2 linked regions of the Notamacropus eugenii genome follow. The protein of the gene in region 1 purifies or fractionates together with the protein of each later gene. This does not show direct contact. Links are inferred from orthologs where the notes say so. Each region holds a gene or a part of one and is shown in the gene's direction. Other genes may lie near its edges.

Evidence for each region.
Region 2: the proteins of PRPF8 (region 1) and SF3A2 purify together in Homo sapiens (affinity purification with mass spectrometry; 3 studies listed by BioGRID and IntAct, with this or other methods). This does not show direct contact. The link is inferred for Notamacropus eugenii from reciprocal best matches to the Homo sapiens genes PRPF8 and SF3A2.

The regions. Positions count from the first base shown.
Region 1 is NC_092873.1:39,717,321-39,724,427, reverse strand, and holds the start of PRPF8 (pre-mRNA-processing-splicing factor 8), read left to right. Parts: upstream 1-4,102; 5' UTR 4,103-4,196; intron 4,197-5,028; 5' UTR 5,029-5,039; coding exon 5,040-5,139; intron 5,140-5,369; coding exon 5,370-5,538; intron 5,539-6,230; coding exon 6,231-6,395; intron 6,396-6,481; coding exon 6,482-6,700; intron 6,701-6,855; coding exon 6,856-7,068; intron 7,069-7,107. UniProt on the Homo sapiens protein: Plays a role in pre-mRNA splicing as core component of precatalytic, catalytic and postcatalytic spliceosomal complexes, both of the predominant U2-type spliceosome and the minor U12-type spliceosome.
Region 2 is NC_092875.1:64,094,158-64,101,926, reverse strand, and holds the start of SF3A2 (splicing factor 3A subunit 2), read left to right. Parts: upstream 1-4,756; 5' UTR 4,757-5,011; intron 5,012-5,447; coding exon of another isoform or gene 5,448-5,541; exon of another isoform or gene 5,542-5,709; intron 5,710-5,742; exon of another isoform or gene 5,743-5,963; intron 5,964-6,194; exon of another isoform or gene 6,195-6,925; intron 6,926-7,769. Other genes in the region: PLEKHJ1 (pleckstrin homology domain-containing family J member 1), read right to left, coding at 3,304-3,371, 5,448-5,541. UniProt on the Homo sapiens protein: Component of the 17S U2 SnRNP complex of the spliceosome, a large ribonucleoprotein complex that removes introns from transcribed pre-mRNAs.

The DNA.
Region 1 (7,107 bases):
ACTTTTTACTGTAAGCCTTAACCAACCTCTCTTCCTTCCAGGGCTTTCCCTCTTTTCATTATTTCCTTTTTATCCTATGTATAACTTGCTTTCTATGTATTTGTGTGCACGTTTTCTCTCCCTTAAGGGCAGGGATTGTCTTTTGCTTCTTTTTGCATGCCTAGTGATTAGCCCAGTGCCTGGCACATAATGAGCATTTAACAATTGAGAGAGTGTTATTGCTACACAACCACCTTATTAATTCTACCACCCCCCCCCCAATTAATCTTCATAAAACACTTTATAAAGCACACCTTTCATTACAATACTCTCTGACTCATTTTGCAGATGGATCCTGAAGGATGAATTCTTCCCGAGTAAACTGTTAGCTCCTTGCAGGCAGTGATTATGACTTGCATGTTGTTGGTCACTAGGGGGTGCCATAGTGCATGGAGCACTGGGCTGGAAGTCAGGAAGACCTGGGCTCAAATTCAGCCTCAGACACTTACCCAGCTGTGTGACCCTGGGTAGGTCACTTATCCTCTGTTGGCTTCAGTTTCCTCATCTGAAAAAAGGGGATGATAGCAGCATTTACCTCCTAGGGTTGTTCTGAGGATCAAATGAAATAATAATTGCGCAACACCTAACAGCCAGTGTAGTTTAGTTTAGCACTTGGCACACAGTAGGTGCTACATAAATGTGCTTATTCCCTTTCTTTTCCCTTTGGCATCCCCCAGTGCACCTAGAATAGTGGGAAATGTGGAGTAGAGATTTTTTTCTCATCTTTTCATTAAAACAGAATCCCACTTAAACTAAATGTCCCACCAGAATCCTGGCCGTGTCCATATGCATGTATGTGGGTGCTTCTCGTGATGCTCTCTCTGACTTTGTTTCTTCTCTTATTTCTTGCTTTCCATTTTCTTCTTCTTCCCTTTAGTCTTTCTGTCTCTGCCTCTTGACCAGCCTACTAAATCTCTACTCTGCATTTAGCACAGTTATTTTTTTTTAAATTAGGATGAAGGTATATTAGGTGGGAAAAAAAAGAAACTGAGGTTCATCCGGACAAATGGTTTATTTATTTAGCAATGCATGGGATTGCAAAACAAACCGGGTCCAAGACTCTAGGTAAACCAAGGACCCCTAGGTTTGGTTTCTATGAAGTTAATATACAATTTGAACAGAGTGGAAAAAATGAAAAATAGGATTATTGGGATTAAGACATCTGGTTTCTTACTAGTAGAGAGTGAGAAATTCAAATTAATTCCACCTTGTAACTGATTCTATACTGTATTGATTTTTACAATTGAGTCTGCATCTGCCTAAAGCCACCTAGGTCCTTGAGATGAGCTGAGGAATTCTGATTTCCCTCTGAGTCACTTTAAAGTTATAATTAAAAGAAAAGTTGTCATCTTTCATACTGGTAGACCTTAGGATACTTCCAGGACATCCAGGACATCTGTTTGTTATCTTTAAGCTTCACAAGTTAACTTGGTACCATCCTCAAAAGATGTGTCATCTGTCCTTGCCTTTCCTTGAACAATTAGGAGAGTTTTGTCTCTTCCAAGGAGTTAGCAACCCTAACCCTAAATGCTCATTGGTAGCTTTGATCCCTTAGCAAAGATTATAAGATGGGGAGGGGTCCCATAAAACATTTAACATTCCTCAATTGTTTGAAAGGGGTGGCTACTAGTCCCACATAAATGCTAGCCTGATTTCCTTGATACAGTCTCTCATGTTGTCTCCATGGCCACAAGGCTGTTTATCAGTAACCAATCACATTGTCTTCCCCAACTACCCAATGCTGTACTTCTCCAAACTAAATGAAGGCTGGCAAGCCCTACCTAGGGGTCTTTGGTTATTGAGAGGCCATTGATTCAATGTATTGGATGCTGTTACCCTAATAAATTGGTGATGTTGGGAATCTTATCTCTCAGTTTACCTTTATTTCCAAATGTAATAAGGATATCAGGAGACACTGAGGTGAGAGGGAGAAGGGGAGTTTTGTGATATTTCTTAAGTTGGGGGACCTTTGGGAGAGGGAGAAATCTTGTGACTTCTTCAAAATCCAGAATGTGACTTTACAAACAGCTGAAACTTTAGCTTCACAAAATGGTGGGTAAGGGAAAAAATGGAATCATGAATGCTATTTTTTTTTTAATATAACAGGTACCAGCTCTAAGTTCCCTGACCCAATGTTGGTGTTAATCCTTCAGTTTTGAAGAGTCTTGACTTATTCATGAACAGAATTTAAGTGAGGCTGAATTGCATAAAGTCACCAGCCTCACTCTCCCAGAGTCATCCAAGTCCAGTGGCAAAACAAAAGTCTGAACGACTGGGGATGATCCAGGATGACGTTGGCGTCTTTGATGTCTGACCAAACTCTAAGCCCTCCACATTGTATACTTCAGCCACCTTCATGGCTGTTGGAACAAATTGTTCTCATCTACCCATTCCTCCAGAGATAGTTTTCACAAGCTTGGGCTAAACATCCTCCTAATTCATTGACAGGTTTGAGGTCTGTCAGTTACCCTCAATCTGGTTTAGCCTGTCTACTGAAACTTTATCCAGCCCTGAAAAGTGGTTAGTAAGCCCTGCCACCACAGGTGCTCATCCTCCTGAATACCCCATACACCTCCGACCCCATGAAACAGTCATAGAATGTCAGAGCCACAAGGGATCTAGTCCCAACTCTCCCCACTCACTTATGATGTTCCATCTCTGGTCTCTGTACAAACTATCCCTCCTTGCCTACTCATTGCGCATTCCTAGCTCCTAGAACCCCAGTTCCTTCCAGATGAAACTCAAGCAACAGCTCCTTCAACAAGAAGCATTTCCTGATCTCTCTAGTGGGGTCATTCCTTAAACCACCCTGCATGGTTGTATATATTCTATATGTGCTTATATAGGTGTACGTGGTCACCCTTGATAGAATTGCCCAGTACTTGGCTAAGTAATCAGGGTAGTCAGCATTCATACAGCATCTGAAGGTCTGCAAACTGCTTTACCCATATTAATTCATCTGATCATCATATCAACTCTGGGAGGTAGGTGCTGTTATGACTTCCATTTTACAGATGAGGGAAGTGAGGCAAACAAAAATTTAAGTGACTTGTCCAGGTTTGAACTCCAGTTTTCCTGACTTCAGGTCTTGCTGTTTTAACTTAAATACTTGTTGGTAGTTTGATTACTGTGAGAAAAGGGTTCTGGAAACCTTATAGAGGAGCTATATTATTATTTTACACAAGAAGAAACTAGCTACTGGGAGAGCTGGGACTCCAGAGAGCTGGAACAAGTAGATCTGTGTCTACCATGCGTCCCTGGGAGAAATGAAAATCAGGACATGGAGAAAAGAGAAAGCCCGGAGACACCGGGAGAGGCAGCCATGGAGACAAGAGACAGTCTACACTCACCAAGCGTGCTCCTACGGGCAGGTCACCTTGAGCCTCAGTTTCCCCAGCTTTAAAACTGGGATAACGAAGTCCACAGTTCCTACCTCGCCTGGGTGTTGAGGTTCTAAAGCGATAATGCCCTTGCCAAACCTTAAAGCGCAGGCACATTCCCGATTGCTCCATCCTTTTCATCCTCATCATCACAGTTTCTATTTATTATCCTCAGGGTGGCTGCTTTGGTTTGTTGAGTGGGACCTGTGATTTCCTAACCAGGTAAACTCAAGGTACCTGGCCGGATCCGCACCTGGTCCAGGGGCACTAAGGAATTGGACCCAGGTCTTCTGAGGTCCACGGTCAGCCCTATGGCCAGCTTTAGGGTTCTGACTACGGGTCTGGAGGAATCAAAAAACCTTTGCATACGTTTCATTTGCATAAATTATGCAAATCAGTGTAATACCTACATATTTGCATGAAAGCCGCTGTTCAGGGCCACCTCAAAGATCGGGGCGGGGCCAGAGCTTCTCCGAGCTGGGAGAGCGCGAGCGTGGGGAAGGCGGGGCTTATCCTCAGAGCTTCCCGCCCCCTTTCTGGGGCCAAGCCACTCTAACGTCTCGACCCGCCTCCTTCATCCGGATGCTTGGCGACTATTGGCTATGACCAACCTCCATCTTCTTCGACCGACACCGATTGGATACTAGTTTCTTTCCCCCCCACCCCCTCCTCGGTAGCTCCTTGCGCATTTCCGGGCGTTGGGAACGTGAGGCGGACGTGGGATTGCCGCCATTGCGTTTTCGTAGAAACTGCAAAGTGACTGCCGGGTGCTGTGGGGTAAGCAAAGGGGAGTAAAGGGCTGATGGCGCATGGCTGGTCAGGACAGGGGCGCGCGGGAAGGGATGGTTGGTACAAAGAGGTGAAGGAGAAATGGAGGGGGCGGGGGGGGGGGTGATGCTGGGGGAAGTGGCTGCAGTGTGAGGGAGGGAGCAACGCATGCGCAATGAGGTGGCGGGAGCGCGCGGGGCCGAGCATCTGGGAAGGGATGCGCAGTAGGCATGCGCAATGAAGCAAGGCCCCTGAACGAGGCTAGAAGGGGATATCAGGGTGAAAGGGGTAGAATGGGGCGCATGTGCAGTGGGAGGGAACGTATGGAGTCGAGGCTGTCCGGGTGAAGGGAGCAGGGTCGTGGTGAGGGGCAGTCTAAGGGAGAAGCCCCTTGGGGGTAGGCCGGGCTCCCTTGAGCGCTGCAGGCGGTGCTGATGAAGGCCTTGGGGGGTGGGGGGGCCCTGAGGACGGTAGGGGAGCTGCCGAGCGCACCCAGAGGTGCGGACCCGAGGTCCGTGAAGGGGACGATGCAAGAGGGCCAGCCAGGAGGTCTAGCGATGGGGGGATGGGAGGGGAAGCTTGGGGAGGGCGATCGAGCCACGACCCAGGCTCCCACTGCGGGTGGACACAGCCAAGGGGTCAGGAATGGGGGAGGGAGGCGGGGAAGGCACAGGAGTGAGAGGAGGGGTGGCAGGGAAGACCAGGGGGTCGCATTCATGTTAATATGAGTGTAGAGACCTGGGCATGGTTGCGGAAAGGCCCTAGAGAGTTTCCAGATTGCCCTTACCCTCCTTTGTGGTCATTTAGAGAGACTTTACTGAGTTCCATTACTATTCCCCAGGTTCTCCGGACATGGCCGGAGTGTTTCCCTACAGAGGGCCGGGTACCCCTGTGCCCGGCCCTCTGGCACCACTGCCCGACTACATGTCAGAGGAGAAGCTTCAGGAGAAAGGTGAGAGGTCTGGGAGAATTAGGCTGGGAAGTGGGGTGCTGCTTGGATCAGGTCCCCTGGGCACGCTCCCTCAGTATTCCCTGAGAATTCAGGTTCTGGCCTGTTGCTCTCATTCTTGTGAAAGAAAGCATTCTCTGCAGACCTATCGGGAAAGCATTTAGGAGTGGCACCTTGGGACTGGGGATGCTCACATGGGGTAGACAGTGATACAGTCTGGGTTTCCTCTCCAGCCCGAAAATGGCAGCAGTTGCAGGCAAAACGCTATGCAGAGAAGCGGAAATTCGGATTTGTAGATGCACAGAAGGAAGACATGCCTCCAGAGCATGTCAGGAAGATCATCCGTGACCATGGGGACATGACCAACCGGAAGTTCCGTCATGACAAGCGAGTCTACCTGGGGTGAGGAGATCCAGGGCTTAGAGAGATGTGAAAAAAGCAGAAAGATTGTTATTCCCTGAGAGTCCCAAGCAGCTGCCAGTTTGGGCTTGGTTGGATCATTGTCCTCATAAAACTGTGATTGTATCCCCAGGCTGTTTGATATTTTTATTTCTGCCCGTGATTGCTGCCCTCCTTTCTGACTGTAGATTGGAGTCCTGGACAACCCTTCTGGATAACACTTGTATGAGTAGTGCCATTCTTAATGCCCTTTGAGGGAGGGAGCTCCAGCAAACCCAAAAATTTACATTCTGTAGTTGCATTGTTGCATGAATTTTTTCTGTCATTTTAGGCCCAGAGTTCTCCTCTGTTCTGGCATACCCGAAAGTATGAATTCTTTTAAGGTATCCAGAACATAGAAACAGTAAAGCTGGTTGCCTCAAGTTCTCTTGTTCCTTTTACCTTCTCTGCTTCTGAACTCTAAGCTGGAGGCTGGATGGGTGGAGGGACCAAAACTTTAACAAATCACTGCCTCCACTAAGAAACAGAGAAACTGACAGTGTGATCACCTAGCCATGGGAGTTTTGGAGTTGCCAGGGCAATTGATTTCTGGAAAAATATGACTTGCATGGAACAGTGTAGTATTTGGGATAGGGAACAGAGAGCATCATGGGAGTACTGATTTTCTGTCACCCTCTGATTACCCAATGCCACAGTGCCCTGAAGTATATGCCTCATGCTGTCCTCAAGCTCTTGGAAAACATGCCCATGCCCTGGGAGCAGATTCGGGATGTGCCTGTTCTCTACCACATCACTGGAGCTATTTCCTTTGTCAATGAGATTCCTTGGGTCATTGAGCCTGTCTACATCTCTCAGTGGGGGTAAGGAAGACTGGGGGATGCTTGGGTTCTAGAGGTTGTCTCTTTGTTCTCTTCTGGGATTCTGATTGTGATGTGGCTCACCCCAGGTCCATGTGGATCATGATGCGCCGAGAGAAGAGGGACAGACGGCACTTCAAGCGCATGCGTTTCCCCCCATTTGATGATGAGGAGCCACCCCTTGACTATGCTGACAACATCCTAGATGTGGAGCCTTTGGAAGCCATTCAGCTGGAACTGGACCCTGAGGAAGATGCCCCTGTGCTCGACTGGTTTTATGACCACCAGCCCCTAAGAGACAGCAGGAAGTGAGTTCCCACAGGCTCAGATCAATAGACCAGACTCAGCTGGCAGGAGTTGTTGGTCCTCTTTGGGTCTGTCGAAGAGAGATTGGCTTTAGGAATGAATGCTATGGCCTGAGTAGCTGCTATTGGTTTCCCACTTTTGCCCCCCTTGTTTCCAGGTACGTGAATGGCTCCACTTATCAGCGCTGGCAATTCACTTTACCCATGATGTCTACTCTTTACCGCCTGGCCAATCAACTCCTAACTGACCTTGTGGATGACAACTACTTCTATCTATTTGACCTGAAGGCCTTTTTCACCTCAAAGGCCCTCAACATGGCCATCCCAGGGGGCCCAAAATTTGAACCACTGGTCCGAGACATCAATCTTCAGTAAGTGTCCTTAAAAAGAAGGGCTTGCAGGGTCCCTGG
Region 2 (7,769 bases), on another chromosome or scaffold:
CCTTGGAGGTCATCTAGCCCAAACTGCTCATTTTTCAGAAGAGGAAACTCTCCAGAGCTTTGTAAAGGGTTAATCAGCTGGCAGGTAACAGACTTAGGATTGAAACTTAGGACTTGCAGGTCTAAAATCAGTGTGCTTTTTGCCACACCATTGACAACTGGCACCCAGAACATAGCAGGCTTGTAGATTACTAACTGACTTGGGCCTCTCTGTACCAGGTCTATCCTCCAGGGGCCACTTCCCTAAGGAAGGGAGGATGGAAGTCGAGAGGTGAAGCTGGATGGACCCTGTGACTCATCAAGAATGCTGGGATGCAGCAAATTCAAAGGAAGCCACGGATCAGGGAGAAAGCTCCAGAACTGCCCTCATCTTGCTCTGGGGCCTTGGGCCAATCATTTCCTTTTGCTTCACCTATTTACCCATCCTTAAAAGTCCCCCCAGGTTTGAAATTTTCTGGGTAGAACCTCCAGGAAATGCCCCCCCATCATGATGGTATAAATAGAATTGAGTTCATCATCCCCACCTGCCAGTGACTCCTTTCTGCCCCCTTCAGACCCTGTCATGAGGCAGCCTGGGGTAACAGGAAAGAGGGCTTGAGCAGAGTGAGTCTCACGTCACTAGTGGCTCCCTACAAGACCAGGACACAATCCCTGAAGGGAGATTCATTTTCCTCCAAACCAGTGCTGCTACAATGCCACACTCCATCTGGAGGGAGAGGCCCCAGGTTCAAATCCTGATTCTGTCACCTGAGATAGCCTCTGTGGGAAGTCACCTGACTGTGCTGGGCCCTCTTGAGGCCCCTTCCTGCTCTAAACCGGGGAAATTAGGATCCCTGGATGCAGGGATGCACAGATAATCACAGGCCTGAAGAATATGGCACACTTCATTGCAAGCTCATTTCTTCTGAGAAAAGAAGCCTGTGTGGGATGGGGGCTCAGAGCAAGTCCCAAGGCAGTGAAAAGGGCTGGGTTGGCCTCCAAGGTGTAGCCTTGGCCCGATCCTGCCTCAGACCTTTACTCTCTGGTGGCTTAACCTCTCTGGCTCACTCTCTTCATCAGAAGAATTAGGGGTCTGGAACAGGTGACTTCTCAGATCTCTTCTGGCTCCCATATGTGCTATGAGCCTGTTCCAGGGCTCTTTCCACGAGGGGCTGCCTATGGCAAATAATATATATCCGAAGCACAGTGGAGTCAGAAAGAACTATGTACTTGTTTATCTGTTCATAGATGCTCACTCTGGGACCGTGACCCCTTCATTTTCTTTTCTTTGTCCTCATCCTTCTTGACCCGTCTACTGCATGTGACACTGCTCACCACCCCTTCTTCCTGGATATTCCCAACACTCCCGACTTGCCTCCTACCTGTCTGACCCCTCCTTCTCAGTTTCCTTAGTTGGCTTGTCATCCATATCACACCCCCAAGTGTGTGGGTGTTTAGCTCCTTTATCAGATGGTTTAATTACCATCATTCTGAAGATGGCTCCCACCTATATACATCAGCCCCAATGTCTCCCAAGCTTCACATATTACCAATTGCCTAATGCCCAGGATAGCTTCACCCCAGCAGGTCTAAAACTGAACGCATCATCTTTTCCCCACACAAGGGATTCTTAACCTGGAGTCTGTGAACTTTTTTTTTAATATTTTGATAACTTACTATTATAGCTGATTTCTTTTGCAATCTTGTTATTTTACATTATGCACTTAAAAACATTATTCTAAGGGATCCATAACACAAAAAATGTCAAGAACTCCTTGCCCTAAACCAGGGGTGGGGAACTTTTGGCCTATAGCCACATGTGGCCTTCTAGGTCCTTGAGGGTGACCTTTTGACTGAGTCCAAACTTCACAGACAAATCCCCTTAGGAATTAGCCAGATGTGGCCTTAAGGCCAAAGGTTCCCCACCCCTGTCATAAACCTTCCCTATGTCTGTGGAACGTACCATCAACCTTCCAGTCTCCCAGCAGCCTCCTGGACTCTTCACTCCTCATCTCACATATTTAATCAGTCACCAGAGTTTGCCCTTTCTATCTTCACAACATCTTTCCTTTCTGACCCCTTCTCTCTACTCATAACCTACCCCCTTCATTTAGGCTGTCATTATCTCCAGAATTATTAAAACAGTTCCAAATTGGATTCTGTGCCTCCAACCACTCCCCAGTACAGTGTGCCCTCTACACTGTTTGCCAGTGTAATTCTCCTCAAATGCCAGTGTGATTCCCCTATTTCACCACTTCTAGTGGCCTTATCGTTCGACATAAACTCCTTTGTTCAACTTCTAAAGCCCTATCCGACCTGGTTCCATTCTATATTTTCAGTTTTGTTGCACATGACTCTCCTTTCCACACTCTTGTGATTTAGCCACTATGGATCACTATCTGTTCTCCACATTTCTGTATCTCCAGTCTCCATGCCTTTGCACTGGAAGCCCCCCCATGCTTGGAATGTACTCCCTCATCCTGGCCCCAGGAGAGTCCCTGTCTTCCTTAAAATGCAGCTCAATCACCATCTTCTGCATGAAGCCTTTGCCAGGGACTTCCCTCCAAACCACTGTGCATTGACTATCTGACATATGTTTGCATTTATTCATGTTCTATTTCAAACGTACTTTTTTGTCTCCCCCACCAGAATCCAAGCTGCTGTCTCCTTCACTGTCCTTGTAGCCTAAGTACCTGTCACTGAGCAGATAAATCCCTGTTGGCTGATGGTCCTTGTTCTGCCATGGCTGGGCTGTGACATTTTAAGCCTGTCATGTAACGTCTGGGGACTGAAGCTTCCTGTTCCCCTGGTTGTGTTGTGATACAATAACCAGGGTGGGTGGTAAGAGCCAGTGGTGGGAAAAGCCCTGACCTGGGATCATGTTCCAGCTCAATCTCTGTCTCAATGGGTGACACTGGGAAAGTCACTCTTTCTTGCCCGTTTCCTTATCTATCAAAGACCTCCTGGGGTTTAACCAATGGTGTCAAACTCAAGTAGAAATAGCATACCTAAGAAACTATCTGGGTCAAATATTGACTTAAAAAACCATATAGTAACATTATCTATGTTCTATTGTATTTTTATTTATTTTGTTCAATATTTCCCAATTATATTTTAATCTGGAGGGGGCCATACTCGGGAGTGTGGTGGGTCGAATATTTGACACTGTGAATCAGACTATAGTATTGCTAAGATTTCTTCCAGATCAAAATATTCTAGGTACAAAGGTCTCCCCTACTTAGAAACTCCATGGTGCTATATTGGATGGGAAATTCCTTAGAAGAGATTCTATATTATCACAGACTGTGTCCCAGGATCCTCCTACCTCTGCTTCATCTGTCCGGAAATAAAAGAGGAAATTCACCACCAGTTTCACGAGCCTCCGTTTCACCACTGGGGGGAGAGATCAAAAAACAATGTGGAAGTTGGGCACTTGCAGGGAAATCCCAGAGAACCCCTGCCCAGAGCCCAGGTGAGACCAGGCTTCTCCCCTCAGCCTTTCTACCCTGTCCTCAGGTTCCTCCTAAATATGACAGTATCCTTTACTAGAATTTCCCTAACCTTTAAACTTTGGGAAAAACACAAAGCCTCTTGGAGGGCAGAGTCTGAACTAGTTTAAGGAGATTGGATGGCAGAACAGGAAAGTAAAACAAGGTGGAATGCCATGGAGAAAATCCAAAAATCCAAATTCCTGTCCTACCACACCCTCCTCTCTTTCCAAAGAGGGAAGCACCACTCTGTAGTATCTGTGCAGGGCCAAAAACAGCTATTTTAGGGGTTGACTTGATTCTTCTTAGTCACCCGGGGGAGTTCCTTGAGTCCCAGCTCCCCCTGTAGCCTCATCAGTAATGACAAGATCCAGACCAAGGAAAAATACCCTCCAGAAAGAGAAGCCCCATTCCCAGGCAGAGTTGGGAGCAGGACCATCTGAGAAGGCCGCCTTGGGTGGAGTAGGATGGACGGTGGGAAGACAGGGCCAAGGAAGGACTGGGAGAGAGGATTCTCTCTGGAAGGGCTGAGGTGGGAGAGTCTTGTATAGAGGCCAGACAAGGAGGCTCTGGGGCAGAGGGCTTGGAGGAGCCTAAGGAGAGGTTACACAGGAAGATTCTGTCTGGGGATTGCTGAGCTTGGAGGTTCAGACCTCCAAGAAGGAAACCTGTTTAGGACTGTGGCTCTAGAAGGCTCTTGCTGCTCCTCTGTCGAGTCATTTCAGTCATGTCCAACTCTCCATGACCCCATCTGGGGTTTTCCTGGCAAAGACACTGGACTGGTTTGCCATTTCCTTCTCCAGCTCATTTTATAGATGAGGAAACTGAAGCAGACAGGGGTAAGTGACTTGCCCAGGGTCACACTGCTAGTAAGTGCCGAGGCTGGACATCATCATAAAGATGAGTCTTCCTGCCACCTGATTCAGAGTGCAGTGCTCTGTCTACAGGGCCACCTAGGAGGGTAGTGACATTATTTCTGTTTGTTTAAGGTGTGGTGGTAGTGTTTGCAAAGCCAGCTCAGGAGCCATTATTTTTCCCCACAAATGTTTATATTCCATTTTTACAGCTTCATGAGTAGTTTAACCAGAAAGGTTAGATCAAGGTGGGGATTTTTCTTTGCAAGAACTTGGGAGCTTAGAACGCTGTATACAAGCTGGGGTAACTTTTCTGGATTCAGAAGGGAAAGGGGGTGGGGGCTAATAGTTTAAAGGAGGAGCAAGTCAGATGAACAAGATCAATGATTTAGAGCAAGGAGGAACCTCAGACTCTCTCCTGTGATGCCTTAGTTTTACAGAGGAGGGAACTAAACGGTTAAGTAACTCTTGGGCCGGGGGCCCAAACATCAGTCAGTATTTGAACCCAGGACTTCAAGGACTTAGGGAACAGAAATTCATGGGAGGACCTGTGTGGTGTAGCACTGGAGCAGAGAAGGAGGGGTTCGGGAGGAGTTCTTTGGGGAAGTGTGAGAAGCTGTGCACAGTGGGGTATGATCCTGGGAACCTCACACAGGATGATGGAGGGGACAGGCTGTGTACACGCTGCGAGGTAACCTCAGGACTCCGCTGAAGAGCCTGGGAGGTGATGGAGGTGGAGTGGGCTTGGGGACAGGGCGTGGGATCTCGGGAGAATGTACACGGGGGTGCAGAGTGGGGGCGCCGTAGGTTGTGACCATGGACAGGACCCTGGCAGGACTGGGGGGGCTGGAGGAGGGGCTGGCAGGTTTGCTCATTGGTGGGGCTGAAGCTGGGGAGGGGACTGTCAGGGTGGCTCAGCCTGGTGACTCGCGGGGTGTCCCTGGGGGGCTCAGCGGGGGGTCGGACAGGAGGGATTCAGGGAGTGCTAAGGCTGGTAGTCTGGAAGGCTCTGAACGCAGGGGTGACCCCGGGGAGTGCGGAGGGCTCAGTGAGGGGGGCTGAGGGAGATCCTGGGGGGGGTCATAGACGGGGGGGGTTAGGCAGGCCGGCCTCCCCTCGGCTCTCACCGCTGCCCTTCTTGGGGACCCGCATCCCGATCTCCGCCGCCTTCTCCGCCGGCTGCCGGGACAGCGCCTGGAGCTCCTTCTCGTTGTACCGCATCCTGACGACGAAGGGAGGTGGGAGGCCCCGCGGCCAAGTCGGGAACCTGCTTGGGCTGCGGCTCCGGCCTCCGGCGGCCCGCCAGGCCCAGCCGCGCCGCTCCCCACTCCGCTCCTCCCTTCCTCCCCGCCCTTAGGGCTCCGTTTTGTCCGTGTTCGCCGCCAGCGGCCCCAATAAAGTTTTTCCGCAGAGCGCGCCCCCGCGGCGCGCAATAAAGTTTTGTTGATGGCTGAGTTCGGTGCGTCTCCCCTGGCAAAGTCAATAAAGTTTGCGAGGGCTTCCCCGCCGCGCGCGTGCGCAGATCGAAGCTGGCGCGGTGGCGCGCATGCGCGGAGGGTCGGTAAGACGAGCTGGCGAAGAAGATAACGGCGGAGCGGCTCGTGGCGCTAGCGCCGGGAGGCGCCTGTTGTTTCTGTGAGGAGGTCGGTGAGGAGGCGGAAACGGACGCCTTGAGTTTTGGGGGGAAGCGGGGGAGGACGGGGCTCGCGACGAGGAGGAGGAGCTCTCCCCAGGAGCGAGGGAAGGAGGAGGGGGACGAGGAGAAGAAAGCGGCCGCGAGGCCTGAGGCCTGGGTCGCTTCGTGTGTGGGTCGGGCCTCGCGCCGGCGGTGGGGGGCGGGGCGCGCCCGGGGCCGGGGGCGCGCGGAGGAGGGAGGGTGGGGAGCGGGGCGGGCCCCGGGACTGGACCGCGGTGCGGAGGGTCAGCCTGGTGAAGGGGTCAAGTGAGCCCCGGAGCTTGGGCCGGGCCGGTGGGAGGCCCACTGTGAACGGACTTCTCCGTGTGAGTAGACCTCCCTTGTCGGAGACCCACTTGCGTGTGCCATGTTGGTGTGTTGGAGTCCTCCAGTACTGAGCGAGTTCCCCGAGGGTAGTTCTTACCTGGGGTGTATTTGCAGCACCTTGCACACAGAACAAGGATTTCCCTTTGTTCCCCCTCACTTAGTTGGTTTTCTGATGGCTTCTCAAATGGAAAGTCTGATCGCGTCCTTACCAAAAGAGAAGTGATTGGAGCGGGCTGGGACCCGAACACCGGGAAGTGGGCTTCCGCCTCAGCCCCAGGCGCGGCTCCTTCACCACCAGCCCTCGCTTGGTCCTTCCAGCCTCACTCGCTGTGGTCCTTGCTCCTTTTCATGTGTAAGGCCTTTGTATTAGCCATCTTCGTACCTGAAGTGCACTCCCTCCTACCTCATTCAACCGAAACTGCTCCTGGAAAGTCAGGAGGCGCAGTGGATAGAGCGCTGGACCCTGGAAATGAGCAAGACCTGATTCAGACCTAACCTCAGAATCTTAATAGCTGTGTGTACAAGTTAATTCATCTCTCTGCCTGCCTTAATGGGGAGTATAAAACTGCCTATCTCCCAGGGTTGGTTTGAAGATAAAATAAGGTACTTGGTTTTTTTAAATTACTTTGTTTCAGTTTTCTACAATCACTTCCATAAATCTTAGATTTCTTCCCCCTCTCTCTCCACTCCCTCCCCGAGACTGTGCGCAATCTTATATGGGTTTTACACATACATTTTTATGAAATGCGTTTTCACCTTAGTCATGTTGCATAGAAGAATTAAAATGAATGGGAGAAACCGTGAGAAAAACCAAAACATAACAGAAGAGAAAATATTCTGCTTCATTCTGTGATCCTGTTCCATAGTTCTTTTTCTGCATGTGGAAGGCATTTTGCCTCAAGAGTCCATGGGAATGTTTTAGGTTCTTGCAAAATAAGGTACTTGTAGAGCACCTTTGCAAATCTTCAAGCTATATATAAATGCTAGCTAGCTATATTACTAATTATTTCTTAACTGTAGGATCTAATGGCTTTTTCTCAATCTTCATCCTTCTTGACTTCTCTGTAGCCTTTGATAAACTTTCTTCTTAATACTCTTCTCCAGATTTCTTGTTACTCTGCTCTGTCCTGGTTCTCCTATCTGTGTGACTACCTCAGTCTTCTTTACTGAATTTTTGTTTAGCTCATGCCCCTGAGATGTCCTGTAAGCCTCTGCTGGGCCCTCTTCTGTTTCTCTGTACTATTTCATCAGTTCCTAGATAGCCAGTTATCTTCTAATTTCCAAACTGGGATCTCTGACTGCCTAACAGACATCTCAAACTGGATGTCCCTTAGATATCTTAAACTCAGTATGTCCAAAACTTAACTCATTATCTTTCCCCTAAAACCTTTATTCTTTCTAAACTTTCCAGGTACATTACTTTTAAGGACACGGTGCTCTTTCCCAG